Linked DNA regions of Callithrix jacchus. Each later gene encodes a partner of the first gene's protein in a complex. Links are inferred from orthologs where the notes say so. Each region holds a gene or a part of one and is shown on either strand. Other genes may lie near its edges.

What was found.
Region 2: the proteins of RASA1 (region 1) and ARHGAP35 are in contact, whole or in part, in a crystal structure (PDB 8DGQ), measured with the Homo sapiens proteins. The link is inferred for Callithrix jacchus from reciprocal best matches to the Homo sapiens genes RASA1 and ARHGAP35. Residues at the interface, in NP_002881.1 of Homo sapiens: Arg188, Arg207, Ser209, Arg211, Val217, Asn228, His229, Phe230, Arg231, Ile241, Gly242, Tyr256, Leu262, Leu263, Lys264, Lys358, Ser379, Asp380, Asn381, Ser387, Gln397, Arg398, Phe399, Lys400, Met411, Gly412, Gly413, Arg414, His425, Tyr426; in NP_004482.4 of Homo sapiens: Ser1085, Asp1086, Tyr1087, Ala1088, Glu1089, Pro1090, Met1091, Asp1092, Ala1093, Val1094, Val1095, Arg1098, Glu1100, Asn1103, Ile1104, Tyr1105, Ser1106, Val1107, Pro1108, His1109.

The regions. Positions count from the first base shown.
Region 1 is NC_133503.1:123,601,923-123,606,419, reverse strand, and holds the start of RASA1 (ras GTPase-activating protein 1), read left to right. Parts: upstream 1-1,512; 5' UTR 1,513-2,101; coding exon 2,102-2,658; exon of another isoform or gene 2,659-2,745; coding exon of another isoform or gene 2,746-2,783; intron 2,784-4,497. UniProt on the Homo sapiens protein: Inhibitory regulator of the Ras-cyclic AMP pathway. Stimulates the GTPase of normal but not oncogenic Ras p21; this stimulation may be further increased in the presence of NCK1.
Region 2 is NC_133523.1:40,888,907-40,892,716, forward strand, and holds part of ARHGAP35 (rho GTPase-activating protein 35), read left to right. Parts: intron 1-1,568; 5' UTR 1,569-1,756; coding exon 1,757-3,810.

The DNA.
Region 1 (4,497 bases):
TGACATCTATTATTTCTGTTTTTTAGGTATTGTATAACTCCTTCTTGATTAGTATACTATACATTAATATAGTGGTTCTCAAACTTTAGTGTGCAAAAGATCACTTGGAGGGCTTGTTAAAATGGAATTGCTGCAGTTTATGATTTAGCGGGTCTGAGGTGGCATTTCTGAATTCCTAGGATGTTGCTGACCTCAGTTCACTCTGAGAACTCTATTTCCTGTGAGTGGTCCATCTTCCTCCTGCCAGGTGGTACACTGCCTAAGAGATAAGCACAATGGTGGCCCCAGGACTATTCCTTAATCAAGGTAGATTGTTGTCATTGACTAGGTAAATAGGCAAGCTTACAAAGAAGATCCATTGCCTGCATCTTGTCACCTCTTTTAGTGGTCTTTTCTCTTTTTCCTGGGTTTCTATCAAAGCCACTTGCCATCCCTAGTGTTGGTTTAATCATCCTTAGCAGAGAAAACATTGATCTCGAAGATCAATATTAAGTGGTAGTCAATGTGGTTGGGATCACTCGTGGGAGAATTAAAAATAACAATACGGTTAATTTCAAACCATGGGAAGCTCCCTCTATATGAAGCATATAATAGTTTGTATATATTTTAGTATAAAAGACAAAACCCTTCTCCGTAATTGTATTAAATATGAGTTTTCAATTTATTGATACTTTTTGAAACGATATATAATCATAACTGGGACATTTTTGACATTTGACTTGTTGAAGGTGCTTGCACTGTGGATTACGACGAGGACAAAGGTGCATTGATGAGTGTTTTCTGTGGCACCCCCACCCCCCACCCCGGTTCATTAGTATCCAACATACTTGAAACGGCAAAGGTTAAGTATATGAGACAGTTGGTAAAGAAAAGCGTGCGCCTATACATAGAAATCTGACTTCATAACCACCATTTCTACCAAAATTCTCCATCCTTCTCATATGGTGCCTTTTATTTCGTTTTGAGTTTCAGAATCTATTTTATTTGTGCGTGTGTGATAGTCACGGTGATTTATAGCATGAAACTAAAAAGAAAACATAAATAGTACTGCCCTGATCTTCAAAGCTACCTGACCCTTGCCTGGTTTCTGCGCTGCTGGCTAAGGCTGTTTCTTCCTCCGGTAGTTTCTGGGCATTTTCCTTTCCCTTTCCCCCGTTTCCTCTCCACCACCTCCCGGTCCCCTTCTCGTTTCTCAGGCTTTAACAGTGCTGAGCGCCCGCGAGCTCAGGTACCCCTTCCCTCTTCTCCTGCTCATCAAACAAAGCCCCGGGAGACAGGCGCGCGTCGCCAGCCACGCCGACAGATGATGCAGCCGAGCCGACACACGCTTCGAACCGGAGCAGGACATCATGCGCGACCACGCACCGCGCGTCCCCGCCGCTTCCTTCCCTCTGGACTCTTCCTTTTCCTCCAGGTCCGGCCCCCCGCCACCGCTCCGGGAACGCGCCTGCGCACAAGCTGCCCTTCTCCCTCCTCCGCCCTTCCTTCCCTCCGTCCCTCCTCCCCTGCCCCGCCTTCCTTTCTCTCTCTCCGGTTTCACTCACTGAGAGCTCCAGGTAGTGAGCAGTTCAGTAGATTTCCTCATTACCCAGCCCCTCTTTCTCTTGTCCCTCCCCACCATCTGCCTGGTGGAGGATGAAGGGGCTGCAGTGGTCCCAGCGTATACAGCGGCACCGGCGGTGGCTGCGGTGTGGGTGGCCGGAACTGGGGTGGTGAAGAAGCGGTGGTGGTGTCTAAAGGAGCGATAGCCGCCTCAGCCTCTTTCCCTGTGCTTCCTATCTTCTTTAGTGCAGTCAGGAAGTTTTCGCTTCTGTACGTGTGTGTGTGCGTGAGTGTGGGTGTGTGCAGTGAGGTTTGGGTGGCGTTTGTGCAGGCGTTGGGTTTTTTGCCCACTTCGCTTCCCGTAACCCAGGCAGCTCCGGAGCCTGGGCTGTGGCCCTGGGAGGGGGCGCGGCGGCCGGCTCTCTCCTTTTGTTGTTGTTTCCTCCGCCTGGGGAGCTGAAGGGGAGACGCGCCTGGGTGGGGCGGCTCGGAACCCGGGCCTGGTGGCCCCCGGGGCTCCCGGGCGGGCAGTGTAGGGCAGAGTAGAGCGGGCTTCAACATGATGGCGGCCGAGGCCGGCAGTGAGGAAGGCGGCCCGGTAACTGCCGGAGCAGGGGGAGGCGGCGCGGCTGCGGGCTCCAGTGCCTATCCCGCAGTGTGTCGGGTGAGGATACCCGCGGCCCTGCCAGTGGCAGCCGCCCCCTATCCTGGGCTGGTGGAGACCGGAGTGGCTGGGACTCTGGGTGGCGGAGCCGCTTTGGGGTCAGGGTTCCTAGGAACCGGGTCTGTGGCAGGGGCATTGGGGGGAGCCGGACTGACAGGCGGAGGTACTGCTGCTGGCGTGGCTGGTGCTGCTGCTGGCGTGGCCGGTGCTGCTGCTGCTGCTGCTGCTGCTGCTGCTGGACCTAGTGGAGACATGTCTCTCACCAAGCTGCTCACTTCGTTGCCTGCTGAGACTCTCGGACCAGGAGGTGTATTTCCCCCTCTGCCTCCTCCCCCTCACCTGCCCCCTTTGGGGGCGGGTCTGGGGACAGTGGACGAAGGTGACTCTCTGGATGGACCAGAATACGAGGAGGAAGAGGTGGCCATACCGTTGACCGCTCCTCCAACTAACCAGTAAGTTGAGACTGCTCTTCAGTAAGTTGAGACTGCTCTTCAGTAAGTTAAGACTGCTCTTCAGTTAAGTTAAGACTGCTCTTCAGAATGTGTGAAGCTGTCTCCAGGAAAGAGAGAATGAAGGGGTAAATCATCCTTTTTTTTTTAATCTTTTCAGCTGTGATTTGTTAGGAAAAGTTTTTGAAGTTTCAGATTTCTTGAAGTAGGAATTTAATTTGATCACTCATCCTCCTTACAGGCATACTACCTGGTGTCTTCCTACATTTATTGTTCCTCTGGGAAGATGTAAAGTCTTTAAGCTGGAAAGCATGAGAAAATGTGTATCCAGTGAGAACCAGATATGGTTCTGTCCCTTCCAAGTTGAGGTGATGTCCCAGGATTCAGTCAAGCTGCAGCTACCAAGGCAGTCATAGTGTATAACCTGTGTGTGTTCCTTGATAAAGCTAGATGATGAGTGGGAAGCTTTGAATACCAATATTTAAACAAGTACTATATTAATAATTTGAGAAATATATTGGTTAGAATGTTTTTATTTCAGTGCACATCTCAGCTTCAGATTATAGAAAACAGTGATGCAGAAAAGTCTTAGAGTCATTTAATGAGAACTTGGGTCAGAGAGAAAGGAAAGCAGTAGTGTGAATTATAGGTGTGATTAAGAGCCTATACTCCAACAATGTCTGTATCTTCTTCCATAGCTTCCCACTTATTAATGCACTGCTTTTATAGTTGAGACATTAGAAGTACAACAGTGAGGTAAAACAAAATTAATAAATCTTCCCTTAAGCATTTTTGTTGGTGGCCAGAATAGTATTCTATTTGAAAATTAAGTTCTACAGTCTGCAGAATATACAGGACAGTGACTGTTTTTCATGTTAGTTAATACCTCCTCCTCACTTGTTCTCTTAATTGAACTTAGGTGTTTATTTGTAAAGGTGAACCTTGATGAGAATGTTGAGATGGGAAGTGGTATCAGGCAAAACTTGTTTTATAGATTTCGAATGTAACTCTTAATTGACCCTTAGAATTTTAACAACCTTGGTGCATATCAGGACAAAAGATTTGGTTCATATGTTGACAGTCACGCTGGACAATTCAGAGGTTTTGTTTCTTTTTCTTTTCTCTCCTCTGAGACGGAGTCTTGCTCTGTTGCCCAGGCTGGAGTGCGTGGTGCCATCACGGCTCACTGCAACCTCTGCATCCCAGGTTCAAGCGATTCTCCTGCCTCAGCCTCCCGAGTGGCTGGGATTACAGGAACGTGCCCCATGCCTGGAGAATTTTTGTATTTTTAGTAGAGACGAGGTTTTGTCATGTTGGCCATACTGGTCTTGAACACCTGACCTCAAGTGATAAGTTGGAATACCAAGACATAAGTTGGTATTCCAACTTATGTCTGTAATGCAGAGTCTTTGGGAGTGTTCTGAGAGGGTTAAAAATGCCATCTACAGCACTGCTTTTGAAAAAAGTTCAGTTTTTATTAAATGCTCACTGCATGCTCAGTACCGTGGTTATGAAGAACAGAATGTAACTTTTCATACTGAAAGAATCTAGTCTTATGACAGTTTATAACTAAATTAGATATATTTAGGATATTGTAGTTGAAAAAAACTTGTGTTAATAGTTTTTTTTTTTTTTAAGACAGAGTTTTGCTCTTTCATCCAGGCTGGAGTGAAGTGTCAGTGATCTTGGCTCACTGCAACCTCTGCCCCCCAGGTTCAAGTGATTCTCCTGCCTCAGCCTCCTGAGTAGCTAGGATTACAGGTTCCCTCCACCACGCCTGGCTAATTTTTGTATTTTTAGTAGAGTTGGGGTTTTATTGTATTGGCCAGGCTGGTCTCGAAC
Region 2 (3,810 bases), on another chromosome or scaffold:
TGTGATAGCTGTTTATAGTTTTACATTGATAAAATATTTTATTTTGGGGGTTTATCCTTCCTGCATTTCTTTTTTTTTTTTTTAACTGTGTTAAAATACACATAACATAAAACTTGCCATTTTAATCATTTTTAACTGTACAGTTCAGGTATTAAGTTCTTTCATAATTTATGCAACTATTTCTGTAACTCTTTCCACCTTGTAAAACTGAAACTCTGTACCCATTAAACAGTAACTTTTCATTCCCACCTTCCCCCCAGCCCCTGACAACCACTGTTCTACTTTCTGTCTCTGTGAGTTTGACTACTCTTAAGTACTGTATGTAAGTGGAATCATACACTATTTGTCTTTTTATGACTGGCTTATTTCGCTTAGCATAATCTTAGCTCAAGATTCAGCCATGTTGTCAGAATTTCCATCCCTTTGAAGGCTAAATAGGCTAGGCGTGACGGCTCTTACTTGTAATCCCACCACTTTGGGAGGCCAAAGCAGGCAGATCACCTGAGCCCAGGTATTTGAGACTAGCCTGGGCAACATGGTGAAACCCCGTCCCTACTAAAAATACAAAAGTTAGTTGGGCATGGTGGCACATACCTATAATCCCAACTACTCATGAGACTGAAGCAGGAGAATTGCGTGAACCTGGGAGGCAGAGGTTACAGTGAGCTAAGATCACACCACTGCACTCCAGCCTAGGTGACAGAGCAGGAATCTGTCTCAAAAAATGAAATAAAATAAAAGTAAAGCATGAATAATATTATATTGCTCGTATATATCATATTTTGCTTATCCATTCATGTGTAGGTGGATACTTTGGGTTGCTTCCATGTTTTGTTGTTGTTTTGACAGAGTCTTACTCTATTGCCCAGGCTTGAGTGCAGTGACGCGATCTCAGCTCACTGCAACCTTCACCTCCCAGGTTCAAGCAATTCCCCTGCCTCAGCCACCCAAGTAGCTGGGAATACAGGTGCTTGTCACCACACCCAGATACTTTTTTATTTTAGTAGAGATGGGGTTTCACCATGTTGGCCAGGCTGATCTCGAACTCCTGACCTCAGGTGAGCCACCGTGCCTGGTCCAGGTTCCTGTTTTTTTTTGTTTTTTTTTTTTTTGCAACGGGTTTATAATTCATTACGATACTTAATTATTTTGCCACTCAAATTGTCCCAGAGATGGCCAGTGGGAGCCCCTTCAGGCTGGCCCCTGTGTCCTTGTGAGATGCCCCATTATTTTTTCTTGCGTAAAAAGATGTTCCAGGTTCATCTTGTTCCTCTCCTACCCTAACCTTGGAATCAGCCCTTTTTCCAGGGAGCCTTCACACCCTTGTTTTAGAACTTAGCACAAAAAAGAACTGCTTACTTATGTCTTCTTCCATTGGACTAGATTGTACCTCTCTGAGGACACATTGATATAAGTCTTATTTGCTCTCACCCAGCACAAGGCCTGACACATGAGATGTTTACTAAATACTTGTTGAATAAAAAGTTGATTTTTTACTGTAGTTCGTTGATTAAAATTTGGTTCTAAAATTATGATGCTGATGGGTTGTCTTTTTTTTCGTCCTCTAGGAAGAAATGTTGGCTATTTGGCGATGAGAAGTGGCGAACAGTGACCATACTGGTATCTGACACTATAGGAGCTGGCATTTTTGCTGCATGTCCAGCCCACCCCCTCTAATAATGTAGGAAGCCGTCTGGTCCCTTGGAAACACTAATCTGATCTCGGAAGTGGCCGATCGTGGCAGGATGTGTCGACGATGATGATGGCAAGAAAGCAAGATGTCCGAATTCCCACCTACAACATCAGTGTGGTGGGATTGTCTGGGACCGAGAAGGAGAAGGGCCAGTGTGGGATTGGAAAGTCTTGTTTGTGCAACCGCTTTGTGCGCCCAAGTGCTGACGAGTTTCACTTGGACCATACCTCCGTCCTCAGCACCAGTGACTTTGGAGGGCGAGTGGTCAATAATGACCACTTCCTCTATTGGGGAGAAGTTAGCCGCTCCCTGGAGGACTGTGTGGAATGTAAGATGCACATTGTGGAGCAGACTGAATTTATTGATGATCAGACTTTTCAACCTCATCGAAGCACGGCCCTGCAGCCCTATATTAAGAGAGCTGCTGCAACCAAGCTCGCATCAGCTGAAAAACTCATGTACTTTTGCACTGACCAGCTGGGGCTGGAGCAGGACTTTGAGCAGAAGCAAATGCCAGATGGAAAGCTGCTGGTTGATGGTTTTCTTCTTGGTATCGACGTTAGCAGGGGCATGAATAGGAACTTTGATGACCAGCTCAAGTTTGTCTCCAATCTCTACAATCAGCTTGCAAAAACGAAAAAGCCCATAGTGGTGGTCCTGACGAAGTGTGACGAAGGTGTTGAGCGGTACATTAGAGATGCACATACTTTCGCCTTAAGCAAAAAGAACCTCCAGGTTGTGGAGACCTCAGCGAGGTCCAATGTAAACGTAGACTTGGCTTTCAGCACCTTAGTGCAACTCATTGATAAAAGTCGGGGAAAGACAAAAATCATTCCTTATTTTGAAGCTCTCAAGCAGCAGAGTCAGCAGATAGCTACAGCAAAAGACAAGTATGAGTGGCTGGTGAGTCGCATTGTGAAAAACCACAATGAGAACTGGTTGAGTGTCAACCGAAAGATGCAGGCCTCCCCAGAATACCAGGACTATGTCTACCTGGAAGGGACTCAGAAAGCCAAGAAGCTGTTTCTCCAGCACATCCACCGCCTCAAGCACGAGCATATCGAGCGTAGGAGAAAGCTGTACCTGGCAGCCCTGCCATTAGCTTTTGAAGCTCTTATACCTAATCTAGATGAAATAGACCACCTAAGCTGCATAAAAGCCAAAAAGCTCTTAGAAACCAAGCCAGAATTCTTGAAGTGGTTTGTTGTGCTTGAAGAGACACCATGGGATGCCACCAGCCACATCGACAACATGGAAAACGAACGGATTCCCTTTGATTTAATGGATACCGTCCCTGCAGAGCAGCTGTACGAGGCCCACTTAGAGAAGTTGAGGAACGAGAGGAAAAGAGTTGAGATGCGAAGGGCATTTAAAGAAAACCTGGAGACCTCTCTTTTCATAACTCCCGGAAAACCTTGGGAAGAGGCCCGTAGTTTTATCATGAATGAAGATTTCTACCAGTGGCTGGAAGAATCTGTATACATGGATATTTATGGCAAACACCAAAAGAAAATTATAGATAAAGCAAAGGAAGACTTTCAGGAGTTGCTTCTGGAATATTCCGAATTGTTTTATGAGCTGGAACTGGATGCTAAGCCCAGCAAGGAGAAGATGGGTGTCATTCAGGACGTTCTGGGAGAGGAACAGCGATTTAAAGCATTACAGAAACTCCAAGCAGAGCGTGATGCCCTGATTCTGAAGCACATTCATTTTGTGTACCACCCAACAAAGGAGACGTGCCCCAGCTGCCCAGCTTGTGTGGACGCTAAGATTGAGCACTTGATTGGTTCTCGGTTTATCCGACCGTCTGACCGGAACCAGAAAAATTCACTCTCTGACCCCAACATTGATAGAATCAACTTGGTTATATTGGGCAAAGATGGCCTTGCCCGAGAGTTGGCCAACGAGATTCGAGCTCTTTGTACAAATGATGACAAGTATGTGATAGATGGTAAAATGTATGAGCTTTCCCTGAGGCCAATAGAGGGGAATGTCAGGCTTCCTGTGAACTCTTTCCAGACGCCAACATTTCAGCCCCACGGCTGTCTCTGCCTTTACAATTCCAAGGAATCACTATCCTATGTAGTGGAAAGTATAGAGAAAAGTAGAGAGTCCAC